Linked DNA regions of Sus scrofa. The protein of the gene in region 3 purifies or fractionates together with the protein of the main gene of each other region. This does not show direct contact. Links are inferred from orthologs where the notes say so. Each region holds a gene or a part of one and is shown on either strand. Other genes may lie near its edges.

Region 1 (3,989 bases), on a different chromosome or scaffold from region 3:
GCGGGTCATGATGGCCGTCACGGCCTTCTGAACCAGGGACACCAGCTGCTGGCTGTCCATGTTCTCGGGCTGCCCGGCGGCCGAGAGGGGGGACGAGGTGTCCTCCTGTGTTTTTTTGTGCCACGCGATGATCTCGTCCCGCAGCACGGTTTTCAGGATGCCGTCCACCTGCACAGCAAGAACAAAACCACCCGAGCTCAGCCCCCACCCTCCGGGTGGCTCTCCAGCCAGGGGCTCGGCCACTCGGCTGGGGAGCTGAGCCTCTGTGGGCCAGACTGGGCTGTGCTGAGCGCTCGGACGGCCGCCCGGGGAGTCCACGCTGAAGAGAGGGAGCCGGCGGGGAGGGACCTGCAGCTGCAGCTCCTGCTGGGCACAGACCCCAGGGCACTGGGCCCTCAGCGTGGGGTTGGTGCCTGCAGCAGGAAGGTGAGCGAGCGCCCGAGGGCCGGGGACCAGGGGCCAGACGGTGGGGCTGAGGTCGCCCAGAAAAGGCCGCAGGGGTGCTCCCCCCAAAAATAAATAAATGAATCTTTAAAAAAGAAAAAAGGCAGGGATGGCCACCTGATGGGCTTCACACAAGGAGACGCCAGCCACGGCCCATCACAGACACTCTGCGAGGCACCAGGGCGGTGGAAGCTGCTGCAGACCCACCCGCGCGGAGGGTTTTATTCTGAGTTGCTTGGCGTCAGCGGAACGTGCTTTTACAAGACAGTACCACACAGAACCGTTTCTACACCAGCCTGATGTGGAGGCGTTCACCATGTTCAGGCTGTGAAGAAACGGGGGCCCAGAGTTTGGAAGAGGCCCTGCTCCTTCCACCTGGACCAGCGCAGGCTGTGCGAAGATGGCCCGTGCGGCTCCAGGTTGTGAGAGGTCTTGACACCGTGCACGGCTTCAGTCTCACCCTGAGACTGCTTCCAGAAGGGTAACTTTCTATACAGAACAGAACTTGGCATTTCAAGCCTCAAGCCTGAGTGGCTGAGGAGTTCCCGTCGTGGCTCAGTGGTGAACAAATCTGACTAGGAACCATGAGGTTGCGGGTTCGAACCCTGCCCTTGCTCAGTGGGTTAAGGATCCGGCGTTGCCGTGAGCTGTGGTGTAGGTCGCAGACGAGGCTCGGATCCCGCGCTGCTGTGGCTGTGGCGTAGGCCGGCGGCTACAGCTGTGATGAGGCCACTAGCCTGGGAACCTCCATATGCCGCGGAGCGGCCCAAGAAAAAGCAGAAAGACAAAAAAAAAAAAAAAAGCCTGAGTAGATGAAAGGGCACTCCGGCTCACGGCTTCCGGCGCAGACCCCTTACTCACACGAAGCCAAAAAGCTCTGCTCGCCCCCTGCTCATCACAGCTAATGGCTCCACCCAGAGCAGCATTCCACAGTGACGGGCGTGAGCAACCAAACCTTAGGAAGGGCGTCAAGTCCTTGCTCAGAGTTAAGAGCTTGGTACCTGTGCCCTAAAACCTGTTCAGTGTTCTGCGACAGGGACTGGTTTTGGAGGCTTCCCAGGACCCCAGGTGCTCATCTGGGAAAACAACCAACAGTACAGCTGGGCTCAGGAGTTAAAGGAAAAACACGAATTGTGTTCCGTCCTCAACTAGGAGAGACAGGCTGGGGTCAGAATGCACTGGATCTGAACCTGTCCACCCTCCCTGTCACACGCCCTGGCTTGGCCGAGGGCATCCCGCCCCGCCTCACCACTAGGCTACATGTGCTGCACGTCACTGCAGCTCCAGTAGGCCAGGAGCCGGTGACACACGCTTGTGTCCTTTTAGAGCAGAAAGGCTTGCAAAACGAAGGACAGAAGGAGCGAACAAAACGGACGTGCAGTACTAACAGTCAAGCCAAACTCTCCAGCCAAGGCTTCAAGACTGCTCTTGGCAGCACTCGTGGACAGAGAACATCTTAAAATCCTTTTCCCTTGGGGGTTCCCGGTGTGGCTCAGAGATAATGAGCCGAACCCAACTAGCGTCCATGAGGACACAGGTTCGATCCCTGGCCTCACTCAGTGGGTTAAGGATCCGGCATTGCCAAGAGCTGTGGTAGAGGTCGAAGACGCAGCTCGGATCTCGCGTTGCCGTGATGTAGGCCAGTAGCTGTAGCTCTGATTCGACCCCGGGCCTGGGAACCTCCATATGCCGCGAGTGTGGCCCTAAAAAGAAACAAAAAAAACCACCAAAAAAACCCCTTTCCCCAAGTGAGTAAGTGCAGCTGTGCAGCAATGAGAGCTCTTGCCCCGGGGCCTCCTCCCTCTTCAGCAGAGCCCGCGATTCCCGAGCCCACACGCGCTGAGCATGCGGCCGTGCTCCTGCAGGCCACCCGGGACCCACCTTGAAGTTGGGCTGGGCGAAGCACCGGGCCACGGCGATCATGGACGCGGTCAAAGGGCCCGAGACGCCGATGGTGGTCAGAAACTCGGAAATGTTGGGGGTGAGGCGGAACGGGACAGGGCGGTTGGCGTCCAAGTCTCCGGTCGCGTCATTTATGTCGAATCGGAAGTAGGCCACGTTGAGTTTGCCGGTGTCCTGGACGTCAGAGGGAGGCGCTCAAGCAGGGACCGGGCCGGGGGGAGCGGGGCCGGCCGCGCGCCGCGGCTTACCTGCGCTATCTGCAGCATCTCGGGGTTGAGCCTGTTGAGATGCAGCACAAACTCGGCGAAGCCGATGAGCGCGAGCTGGATGGTGAGCATCTTGCGGAAGGTCCAGTAGTCGGTGGCGTTGGGGAAGGTGTGCAGGGCCCACTCCCGGAGCATGCTGCGCGGCACCATGTTGCTCTGGACCTCCTTGAGGATGTCGCGGAGCACCTGGAACCAGACACGCGCCGCCGCGCTCGCCTCTGCTCCGGGCAGAAGACGCGCGACTGCCGCTCCTCTCTCGCTCTGCCCCCCACGGCGCGTGCGAGTTCCGGGACCGGAAACTGAACCCCCACCACCGCAGCGGCAATGCCAGACCCTTCACCTGCTGCGCCGCAAGGGAACCCCTGTCACTTTTTTCTTGCTCAGCACCGGCACGGTGGCTTCTGCTGGCAAATACTTATGCTGTCTCACTGGACTAACCCTGAGGACGCACAAAACGCGTCAATTTCCTGCAAGGCTCCTTGTCTTGTACCCAAATCAACAGCGGAGCTGCGGGAATAAAAGCCTCAGTTACATGACAGCCAACTGACTACCCATCTCACCGAGAACTTAGCTAAAGTCTGAACACTGTAACTGGCCAATACACCAGAACACACAGACCAACTAACAAAAAGAACAAAAGAATACTTCGTAACTAAGGCAACTGAAGACCAAAATTTTATAAACCGAAGGACTGAATTTAAAATTAGATTAGATGCAGAGTTCCCATCGTGGCGCGGTGGTTAACGAACCCGACTAGGAACCGTGAGGTTGTGAGTTCGATTCCTGGCCTCACTCAGTGGGTTAAGTATCTGGCATTGCTGTGAGCTGTGGTGTAGGTCGCAGACGTGGCTCAGATCCTGTGTTGCTGTGGCTATGGTGGAGGCTGGCAGCTGTAGCCCTGATTTGACTCCTAGCCTGGGACCCTCCATATGCCGCGGATGCTGCCCTAAAAAGACAAAAAAAAAAAAAAAAAAATTTAGATGTTACACCACACTTTAAACTGAATTCTGGACTAGCAGGCTCATAAGGCTATTTCAAACATCAGAGAATGGTCTCAATGAAAAGGTTACTGAGTTGGATAAGTCCCTGAGAGACCAACTGGTAAAGGCCTCTTCTGGGCCGAGTCGTACCCTTGTGCCCTGCCACCCACGGGCACACAGGCCCTGAGCAACCAACAGCTCTGCAGATCATCAACCGTGCCTCGTTCCTGTTCATTCCGTCTCAGGTGGAAAGAAGCACACCTGAGAGAGCAAAGGGAGCACCTCCAGGGTCCGCTGCTCCGTAAGGGCACTAAGAACTCGCACCACCCATCAAAACCAGCTTTTCCAGAACTCTGGAACTTAGAGGCTTGTAACAACCCGAGCAACTTTTACTAAA
Region 2 (5,171 bases), on a different chromosome or scaffold from region 3:
ATCAGGTTCATCAAAGCAGAAGAAAAAGGCTAAGTCCCAGCAATACAAAGGACATAAGAAAAGTGGGTCACCATGTGGTGTTTATATACACTTTGTAACTTGTTAACCAGTTGGGGTCTTAAATATTCTTGCACAGAAACGATACCCTTTTTGAGAGCAGATAACTGTGCATTCTGTATTATGCTTAAAGGTGCAGTATGCTATAAAAGGCAAACCTTTTCAGTAATGAGAAACACTTACCTTTGATAGGGGAAATTATTACCATAATATTTAATATGTGGTAAAGAATAGAGTCTGTGGACAATTCTTGAAGTAACATGTAAACCTTCTGAAAATTAATCTTTTTTAAATCTTTAAGAGTTTTACAACTTTAAAAGCAGATGCTTACAATAGACTTGGAGATTAATAAACCCATCCTTATAAATGAAAACTCTTTCTAGAATGATGCTTTTGAGAAATTCAAGGTGATAGCTAACAAAATCAGACCTAAGAAAAGTTTTCTCAGAATGCTCCTGTGCGGCAGGTTCAGCCCCTGGCCCAGGAACTTCTACATGCCATCGGTGTGGCCAAAAAAAATTTTTCTTGGGACTTCCCATGATGACTCAGTGGGTTAAGAACCCAACTAGTATCCTTGAAGATGTCGGTTCAATCCCTGGCCTCGCTCAGGGAGTTAAGGATCTGGCGTTGTCGTGAGCTGTGGTGTAGGTCACAGACGTTGCTCGCATCTTGTGTTGCTGTGGCTGTGGTGTAGGCCAGCAGCTCCAGCTCTGATTCAACCCCTAGCCTGGGAACCTCCATATGCCACAGGTGCAGCCCTAACTCTGATTTTTTTTTTTTTTTTAATCTTTTTTCCCCCAACATAGGAAGCCACAGATTTTTTTTCTTCATGAAACTTGTGGAATATTTTGCTCTGAGATATGGTTATTTTTATTTAAAGTTTTTTTTTTAAGTAAAAAGTACATTCGAGGATTAAAATTAAAACAGATTTTTCCAACTAACTTGCCCTATGTTCAAGGATCCCCTGTGGCATATGGAAGTTGATTGAACCTGAACCACAGCAATAACCTGAACCACTGCAGTGACAGCACTGGATCCTTAACCATCTGTGCCACAAGGAAAATCCAGCCCTTATCTTTTTGATCATAAATGTTTGTTTATAATTTCTTCAGTGAGAAACCTAACTTCTAGCAGCCAGTGCAGTGGTTCTTTGGTTTCCTCCGCATAAAAAACCCATATCAGCCTCACAGTAGTGATAACCATCAGGCCCCTAACCCTCTCTTTCATATTATAGACATAAGCCTCCTACAGTCCCAGAATTGTTTTGCCACCCAGCTGCTTACCATGTTTGATCACTAAGCTTTCTCTAAGGCTGAGTAGTACAGGCCGCTTTGGCCTGTCTTTTCACATTTTATTTGATAAGACTTTGAGATATCAGGATTTTCTTTCCATAATGTGTGGAATTTCAGAACATTTTTTATTACTTAGTAACTGTGTGATGTATGTTTTTTAGATCTAATTTCTGAGCATTGTATGCACAGATCGCATACCTCAGTTGGTGTAACTCTTACTGGGTTTGTGGCTTATGGGGTGTAATGATTTTGAATGAATGGGCTAGGGACATGGGAAGAAATGTGAAATTAATAAAGTGGTAATATCATTATCCTAGTTTTTAGTGATAACAGTACTAGATTTCAGGATTAGCTGAAAAACTGGATATAGCTACAATATGATGTGTCCTTTAACTTTTAGTAGCTCTTAATATTATGACATCATCTCCAATGCCTTTAAATTGTCCTTTGGACATAAAAAAGAACTGTGGACCCACAGTCCCTTATTAGAAATCCTTAGGCCAGATGTGTTTTGAAATTTAGAATTATTTGGATTTTAGAAAAGAAGTACATTGTTTGTAGCATATATTATGTAACATCCCTTGTAGGCTCTGCAGCATTTCCCAAAGCAAAATATGCATAAATAGTTACATTTAATGGGCTAAATAAAGGTTATAAATAGTATACCAAGTAAGGTCTGGTTTTGTCGCCAAAGTTGTGCCGAAAAAACTTTGAATTTTTGGAATTAAGGATAAGGAATTGTAGTTCTGTGTGCATGAAGAGGCAGTCTTCTTGTAAGGGTACTCTTTGCTCCTTTAATTTTTTTTTCACATTACTCGGCAGCAAGTAGTTTATTACAACCTTTTCACACAAAACTTTATTTACCAAAATAAGAAAGAATTGGGGGGTCCAAGAACTTAAGTCATCCATTGTATGCAGATTTATGTCAGACAGGCTACAAAACCTATTTGGTTTTAAGGTTGTCTACAGATTATTATATTCTGGTTCTGTTGTTTCATCTTTGGTCTTACTGTACCTAAAATCATCCGTCAGTATATTCTTTTGGTAGGGCTTACTTTTTACAGAAATAGATTGGCTTCATTGTCCTAGCTTGTCTTTTGATTAGCTGTGTATGAACATGCTTTATAGCATGAGGGGATAACTATTAACCAGTGCTGTTGAGAAATAAGAGTTACGTTCTGTCAAGAGGATCATTGTATGCAAGTCATCTATCCAATCTGAAAAGCCTTTTTTTCCTCAAGGTTTAATAATTCTAGAGCAGGAAAATCAACACTAATTTCTGTACCATCTTCAGGGGCTTTTGTAAGTAGTAGAAAGGTAGAAACTCTCCTGGCATTTTTATCTCCAAGTGTGTGGTACATTAGACTCTTGTCTACATGATTGCTGCAAATGATTTTGGTTTGGCAGTTGAGAATTAAATGTGTACTCATAGGAGCTTGGTTTCCAGATCATTTTACATAGGAATACTGTCTGACTTGTATTTATCTTTTTAGTCCTAATTTTGCAAAGCATAATTTCTAATTGATCCTGCCTGGGTCATTTGTAAGAAAAAAAAAAAAAAAAACACTCTTAAAGAAAACATGTAATTTATAGTCACAAAGCTATGTAAGTATCCTTCAGCTTTCAACCTATTAATGCAGAATGCTTGTTTATTCAATATTCGCAGAGCTTAGATTATTATTTGTTGGTGGTGAAAGCATTGTGTAAGTCTTCGAAGGTTTTTGTGTGCTTATGAAACTCTAATGAAAAGTGTTTTAGAAGAAATTAGATTGCTTACAAACATGCAGTCAACAAATGTTTAAACTTTAGAACTGCTTTTCAGATTAAGAATTATGACTTTCCTGAAAGAGTGGATTATAAACCGAAAGTTAGAGAAGTACATTTCATATCAGTAAAGTCCTGCCACGTGTCAAATACATTTATTAAATTGTTTGATTTCTCTCTGAAGGACAGTGTTTGTCTTACATGGGCAGCCACTGACTTTGGCCTGCAAGTAGGGTTTTTAAACCCTCTCTCTTCTAGTGGATTTTCAGTCCCCTCAAATTAAAATTTTCCCAATTAGCCAGCTAATTCTTCACACTCAGTGCTCTCTATAGTTCATTTTGCTTTCTTTTGTTTTCAATGGAGAGTCAGGATCCAGGATTTGGACTTGCAGAGACTAGAAATAATCACCTGTCATCCATTCCGCAGCCCACGCACGCACACATACATGCCCACCCACCCCTTGGTTTTAGAAATGCAAACCTTGCATAGTTGGCTCTCTTTTCAGAGTACCCTATGCAATGCAGCCTTTCCTAGTTATGATGCACTTTTCTTACCACACATGTAAGTAAAAGCTTACTTTAGTTTGACTTGATATTTAGAGAGGAAGATGCCAAGTGGGAAGAAGCCTGTCAGTTTGTCGAGCCTACCCATGACAGGTGGGCTGCGGAGGAGCTTCTCTGGTGACGAAGAGTTGACTCCTCCTCCATATCGAACCCTTCCAGCACAGACAGCCTCGGAGGCCTTCCCACCTCCCCGCACTAGCCGAGAGTTCAGTCCCAGCCTCAAAACAGGTAATTAGTCCCATCAGCACCTCAGGTACTGCAGAGGGTCAAGGTCTGGGTTCGGGTCGGGGGAGCGAAGGCGGGGGAGAGAAGGCATGGTCTGGCGTGACAGATGCTGGCTCATTAAATTTTTCTTTTTCTTTCAACTGAAAATTTCATTTTCACTAGTTCTTGATAGTCACTTCACTAAGATGAATCATCAGGGAAAGACTTTTATTTTGTTATAAGCCACTTCTGAGCTTCAAATTCAGATAGAGCTGTAATTTCAGTTTATGAAATTGCGAGACAGCTTATACTATTTCATGGTCTCATTAAAATAGTTGAACATCTTCCATTGTAGAATTCTATGTTACTTGACCTGGAGGAGAAATAGGCCATGAGGGATCAATCCGATTAATCAGATCCAGAAATGAGGCTTTGTTCTTAGCATTCCATAGCATCTCATTCAGTAGAAATAATGTGTTTTGTGTTCCTTTGTAATTTTGGTTCTGGTAGTAACATTTACCACAATTTTAGTTGAATAGCATGGACTTGGAAATACATTATCAGTATAATTTGGGTGTTGAATTTGAGCAAAATTTATTTGTGTAATTTCGTGCTTATGTAGGTACAGTGATTTAAGTAAGTGACATTTAGTTGAATTGGTTAGGCCAAGCTGGTAGAGTGTAAGAAAGACTGCCCTTTGTAATTGCTAAGAACAAACATGTTATCATAGAATATCAGAAAGGCTTCAGTTAACGTTTGGTGAGTCTTAGAGATGAGTACAGATCACATAGCTTCAAAGCCAAAGTTGTATCTGCTGTGGCCTGTATTCTGCCGTATCCTAACTATTGCTTTTACATTAATTTTTTAATCTGACTGGCATTCTTTAAAATGCCTTCTCTATGTTGAAAATGCTGATGGGACTTAATACCCAGCTCTGTTTTCTTCTCATTGCTCTGTTTGCTAGTATTTTTGCATCTGAAGTTGTCATCAGCCATTTTTTCGAGTATTAAGATGTGTTCTTTAGCTTTTGCCTTATTAAACAGTGTGTTAGGTGATCTTGATCCTTCCTAGTCTGTTTCTCTGAAGATCACGCTCATCTTTATATCTAGATAAAATCACTATATATACCTCTTTGTATAAAAAAGTAGATTAGGACTGCAAATCCAAGTTTATTTGCTCTTTAATAGAAATGCATTCAAAGTCTATCGAAGGAGCGTTTCAGCTTCTATTATTTCTTTTTATTTGTATTTATTTATTTATTTTTATTTTGCTTTTTAGGGCCACACCTGTG
Region 3 (5,271 bases):
TATAGGTGAAATATTATTTGGGAAAACAATATCAACACAGAGTCCCTCCCTCTACCCAGCAAATCCTAAAGATCAATAATAGATAATGAAAGGATAATATAAGACCCTAATTTTTTTTCCCTTTTTTGCCTTTTAGGGCTGCACTCAGGGCATACAGAAGTTCCCAAGTTAGGGGTGGAATCAGAGATGCAGCTGCCAGCCTACACCACAGTCACAGCCATGCAGGATCCCAGCCACGCATGCCATCTAGTCCACAGCTCAGGGCAACCAAGGATCCTTAACTCACTGAGTGAGGCCGGGAATTGAACTCGCGTCCTCGTGGATACTAGCTGGGTTCTTTAGCGCCAAGCCACAACAGGAACTCCCAATTTTTTAATTTTAAAATTAACAGCAAATTTCCAAAAAAACTTGATAAAACTTTCAGATTGAAACCCAAACTACAGTACTAAAGAGTATATATTTCAAATTTTCTTAATGTCAGAAATACTGAATTATGTTTATAACGTAATTACTGTTAAAACTCCAAGTATGAAAGATTTGGATCACTACTGTCTCCAAGCAGCTGGACGTGTACAGAGGTGCTATTAATCTATTAGTTGGAAAATTAAGTAGCTGGCATTATGATAGTACTGTGTGTACAGTACTATTTTTTTAAGCCCATCATTTGCATTTGATTACATGGACCATCTGTAACTGCCTGTGAATCATATGAGGACATTTACCGAACATTTGTCAAGTAGCAAAATGTTTAGCATAGAAGAGTTGACACATAATAGCCTTCATGTTTCACTAAATCAACTTTAGAAGCCAGGCTATAGGTACAACCCACAGACGTGTAGTCTTTAGAAAAATATGATTTGATTAAAGAATACCGCCTCAGCCCAAGCCTTCAGTGGGTAGACCAAAAGGTCTTTTATGACCAGCGAGGTGACTTTGCTTCACCGTCTTTTCCATGAAACTGTTCTGTTGGGGTTGGGGAGGTAGGGGGTTCAAAAAGTCCTGAGAAAAGAAGAGGAAGGAGATACAGCTGAAAAAGTGGGAGCAGAGGGTCGTGATGAATCGGTGGCTGGGCACTTGCCTAGGAGGAACAAACGCGAAATCACTACCCAGACTATGGTTAGCGAAGGAGTCGGGGCGCCTTTCACTGGACGCCTTCGCGCCACCTGTCAGACCGGAGGTGTCAACGGGAATGCAGGGGGGTCGGTGAAGGTACCCCGTGCTCCGGAAGAAGGCTGCGGACAGGCGGGTCTCTGCCCGCCAGGTGTTCTAACGGGGCGGAGGCGGAGGGAGGGCAGGGCAGGAAGGAGGGAGTGCTAGTCCCCGCTTTCCGAGGTCTCTGGAACCGAGCAAGGAGGCAAAGGTGGAATAGGGGGCAGCTACTGCGTGCCCCTCCCCTGAGCCTCTCAGCTCCTCCCTCCAGGCACGTGACTAAGCCGGCGGGTGCCCTGCTCAAGCAGCGTAGCTCGCTCTGTTTCTTCCCTCCCGCCGCTGTGCCCTTCTTCTCCCGGGTTCCCATCCCTCCGTTCTCCCCCACCTCCTTCTCATGCCCCAATAACAGCTCGAGCTGCAAAGCGCCCGCCCCTCCGCCCTTTTCTTCGCTTGCTCATTGGCTGAGACTTCAAGGACGCGGCCCGAGGGCGGGTGGCAGCCATTGGTGGGATGAGCAATCCGAGTTCCCGGATGAGGGAACATTCTGCAGTATAAAGGGAGCGGGGAAGGCGGGAGACAGCGCAGTTTGAATCGCGGTGCGACGGAGGAGTAGGCGGCGGGATCTCGCTTGGTGACTGACTAGTCCTTTCTCTGCCTTGCTTGTTTGAGCTTCAGCAGAATTCGAAATGGTAAACTTCGCGGAGGCGCTCGAAGACTACGCGGGTTTTTGCCGGCAGGAGAAAAACCCGTTACACACGGAGATGGGGGTGAAGCGGTGACGGTTGGGAACGCGCGGAGAGAGGATGTGGAAGAGCGGGGGGAGGTGTTTTGTCGGCGGCGAGCGGAGCAGCCTCCGATCTCGCGGCGGGCGGCGACGGTTGGGTGGCGCGCGCAGCGCCGCTGGGAGCCGGAGGGCGGTGAGCGGGCGGCCTGAAGCGCGCGGCCGCGGCGGGCGCGCAGCGGGGGGCAGGCGGGCGGGGTCGCCCTTGCGGCGCGCGGCGGGCCGGAGACCCCGGCTGGGCACCGGGCCCCGCTCGCGCCCGGGCCGCCCCGCGGTGGGGGAGGGGCGCGCCGCCTTGGTAATCCTGTATTCTGCGTTCCTTCTTCGCTCGCGGGCGTGTGCGCGCCGCAGGCTGGCGGTAAGGCTGGGAAGGACTCCGGAAAGGCCAAGACAAAGGCGGTTTCCCGCTCGCAGAGAGCCGGTTTGCAGGTCAGTGGGGGTTTCTGCTGTCTGGGAATCGCGGCGTTTTTCTCTCCTTTTTCTCTGTTTATCATTGCACTAGATGAGCTTTTGGTCTTTGCGTGGTGATGGTGTCGGGACTTGGTTTACCGATACAATAAATATTGGGGAAGGGGGGGCGATCACGTGTGGCGATGCTAGGGCGCGTTGCTGCATCAGCCTCCGTGCCCCTTGCTTTGGCGCGCGTATAATTTGACCATTTTTGGCTCCTCTATCTTTGTGCATTTGTGTTTGTGTATGCGAAAAATGAAGTTTCCGGTGGGCCGTATTCATCGACACCTGAAATCTAGGACGACCAGCCATGGACGTGTGGGCGCGACTGCCGCTGTGTACAGCGCAGCCATCCTGGAGTACCTCACCGCAGAGGTAAATGGGTGTACGCCTGTAATCTGGAAAAGGTGGTGGGGGGAGGCGGTGAGAGGGAAGGAGGAAAGTGATGCAAGAAAACTCCCAGGCTCTGAACGCGGTGAGAAGCTTCTGACAACGCTAGAGGGGGCTGGTGTTCATTTTGGGTTCCTCCTGAGCTTGAGTTGACTGCTTTAGGAAATAAAATTGCGTGTCCCCTTTATAGCTTTTGCATATCTTGCCATTCAGGTAGTGGGGGGAGACGGCAGTTGGTAGATACACGTTCACGAAGGTTTGATTCTTCTGGATCTTGATCCTAAGGAAAGTTGGCAGGAGATTGATTAGATTCTGTCTTCTAGGTACTTGAATTGGCAGGAAATGCATCAAAAGACTTGAAGGTAAAGCGTATTACTCCTCGTCACTTGCAACTTGCTATTCGTGGAGATGAAGAATTGGATTCTCTCATCAAGGCTACAATCGCTGGTGGTGGTATGTAAATACTAAAAATTTTTTAATTTCTTTAGATAATTCTTTACTTTTTTCCCCCACTAGAAGAGGACACTTAGTGTTATTTTCAGTGATCTGTAGTATGGTTGCATCATGAAAATTGATTCCTGTATATAACTTAGTGAATTTTTACTTCTGCATACTCTGGCCTCACATTTAAAGACTTCTTCGAAGTTGAACGTTAAACTGTCATGGTTTTGAAGTCCTGTGTTAATTTTCAAAATAATGTATATTTAAAAGTATCCCTTTCCTCCCCTAGGTGTCATTCCACACATCCACAAATCTCTCATTGGGAAGAAAGGACAACAGAAGACTGTCTAAAGGATGCCTGGATTCCTTATTATCTCAGGACTCTAAATACTCTAACAGCTGTCCAGTGTTGGTGATTCCAATGGACTGTATCTCTGTGAAAAACACAATTTTGCCTTTTTGTAATTCTATTTGAGCAAGTTGGAAGTTTAATTAGCTTTCCAACCAACCAAATTTCTGCATTCGAGTCTTAACCATATTTAAGTGTTACTGTGGCTTCAAAGAAGCTATTGATTCTGAAGTAGTGGGTTTTGATTGAGTTGACTGTTTTTAAAAAACTGTTTGGATTTTAATTGTGATGCAGAAGTTATAGTAACAAACATTTGGTTTTGTACAGACATTATTTCCACTTCGGTGGATAAGCTCAATAAAGGTCATATCCCAAACTAGTTGTGTATTAAATTCACTTGATTATGATGGGAACAACTTTTGTTTTGAATAACTATCTTATCCAGCAATAACTTAATAAGCACGTTTCTTACCTTGAAATTAAAATGTTAATTTTGTAGATCAACAAACCTCGAAGGCTAAAGCATATATATATTTTTTAATGCTATGAGATGAACTATTAAAGATTTTAAAACTTCAGTAGGAGCTTGGAACTGGACAAGGTGATGTTTTTTAGGTTAAATTTGATCATCTCAATTTGTCGCTGCACTTGCTGTTTGTGACAGCAGCACTACATCCAGAGCACTGTCATGGACTGGGGCAGGTAGGGAAGTTCTGTATATTGCTACCTCCACAGAAGGTACTTTCAGTATAAACAGTGAAGTGTTTCCTGTGTTCTCCCACTGTTTCAAAGGCTACCTGGATTAAACTGTTCAGTATGCACCATCTAATCCCGTTTTTACAGAAAAGAATCAAGGTTGGAGTTCCCCTGTGGAATAGCAGATTAAAGGTCCCGTGTTGTCACTGCAGGGGCTCCAGTGGCTGCTGTGGTGGGGGTTTGGTCACTGCCCTGGGGAACTTCTACATGCCTTGGACTCACCAAAAAAGAATCAGGGTTTCTCTGAAAGTCCTGAGTTGATCATATTTGCTGTCATGGCTGTCTTTACTGAACATTGTATGAAACGATTATTTTGTGGTTAAGTTGATTGGATCGTTTTGACATGACACTTGGCTTCTGACAAGTTCTTAGTTTTTGAAACTCGGATTAGGTCATTACAAGGCTCATCCTGCACACGGAGACCAGTATGACAGGTATAGCATTTCACAGGGGTAATGTGAAAAAAGAGTAGGGAGAAAACCAGCAAATAGATACATGATGGTAATACATTCCCAACGAGCTGATTCCTTCCTCGTTTTGGTCATGTAGGATTATTAGGGTTCCGGTTTTTCGCCAGAGTAAAGGCAAACTGCAAATTGTGTTTACTTTAACTCCCGGATGTACTAAGGAGATGGTTTTACTGCAGCTGGGTCAGGAAAGTGCTGAAAGAGGCAATGAAACAAGCCCTGAGTTAGGGTCGAAAGGCCCTCTACTGTGTCCCAGTACACCTGTGCCGGAAGCGCAGCCCTCACCTGACCGAATCCTCCCCAGGCTGAGGGGGGCCCTGAGGCGGGGCCTTCGACCTCTGGGAATTTTCCTGAAAGCGAACATGCCCACCCCGATCCGTAGCCCGGCCGCTAGGAAAACCGGCGGCCGCCGACGCGGGCCACCACGGGAGGTCAGAGGGCGCGGCGCAGTCCGGGCGGCCGGGTCCCCGCCCCGGTGGAACCCCCGG

Evidence for each region.
Region 1: the proteins of H2AFZ (region 3) and TRRAP purify together in Homo sapiens (affinity purification with mass spectrometry; 3 studies listed by BioGRID and IntAct, with this or other methods). This does not show direct contact. The link is inferred for Sus scrofa from reciprocal best matches to the Homo sapiens genes H2AZ1 and TRRAP.
Region 2: the proteins of H2AFZ (region 3) and MBTD1 purify together in Homo sapiens (affinity purification with mass spectrometry; 3 studies listed by BioGRID and IntAct, with this or other methods). This does not show direct contact. The link is inferred for Sus scrofa from reciprocal best matches to the Homo sapiens genes H2AZ1 and MBTD1.

Annotation. Positions count from the first base shown.
Region 1 is NC_010445.4:6,024,543-6,028,531, reverse strand, and holds part of TRRAP (transformation/transcription domain-associated protein), read right to left. Parts: intron 2,799-3,989; coding exon 2,595-2,798; exon of another isoform or gene 2,521-2,594; coding exon 2,326-2,520; intron 169-2,325; coding exon 1-168. UniProt on the Homo sapiens protein: Adapter protein, which is found in various multiprotein chromatin complexes with histone acetyltransferase activity (HAT), which gives a specific tag for epigenetic transcription activation.
Region 2 is NC_010454.4:27,459,235-27,464,405, reverse strand, and holds part of MBTD1 (MBT domain-containing protein 1), read left to right. Parts: coding exon 1-62; intron 63-3,712; coding exon 3,713-3,904; intron 3,905-5,171. UniProt on the Homo sapiens protein: Chromatin reader component of the NuA4 histone acetyltransferase complex, a multiprotein complex involved in transcriptional activation of select genes principally by acetylation of nucleosomal histones H4 and H2A.
Region 3 is NC_010450.4:120,562,102-120,567,372, forward strand, and holds H2AFZ (histone H2A.Z), read left to right. Parts: upstream 1-1,650; 5' UTR 1,651-1,835; coding exon 1,836-1,838; intron 1,839-2,281; coding exon 2,282-2,359; intron 2,360-2,641; coding exon 2,642-2,755; intron 2,756-3,093; coding exon 3,094-3,223; intron 3,224-3,500; coding exon 3,501-3,562; 3' UTR 3,563-3,922; downstream 3,923-5,271. UniProt on the Homo sapiens protein: Variant histone H2A which replaces conventional H2A in a subset of nucleosomes. Nucleosomes wrap and compact DNA into chromatin, limiting DNA accessibility to the cellular machineries which require DNA as a template.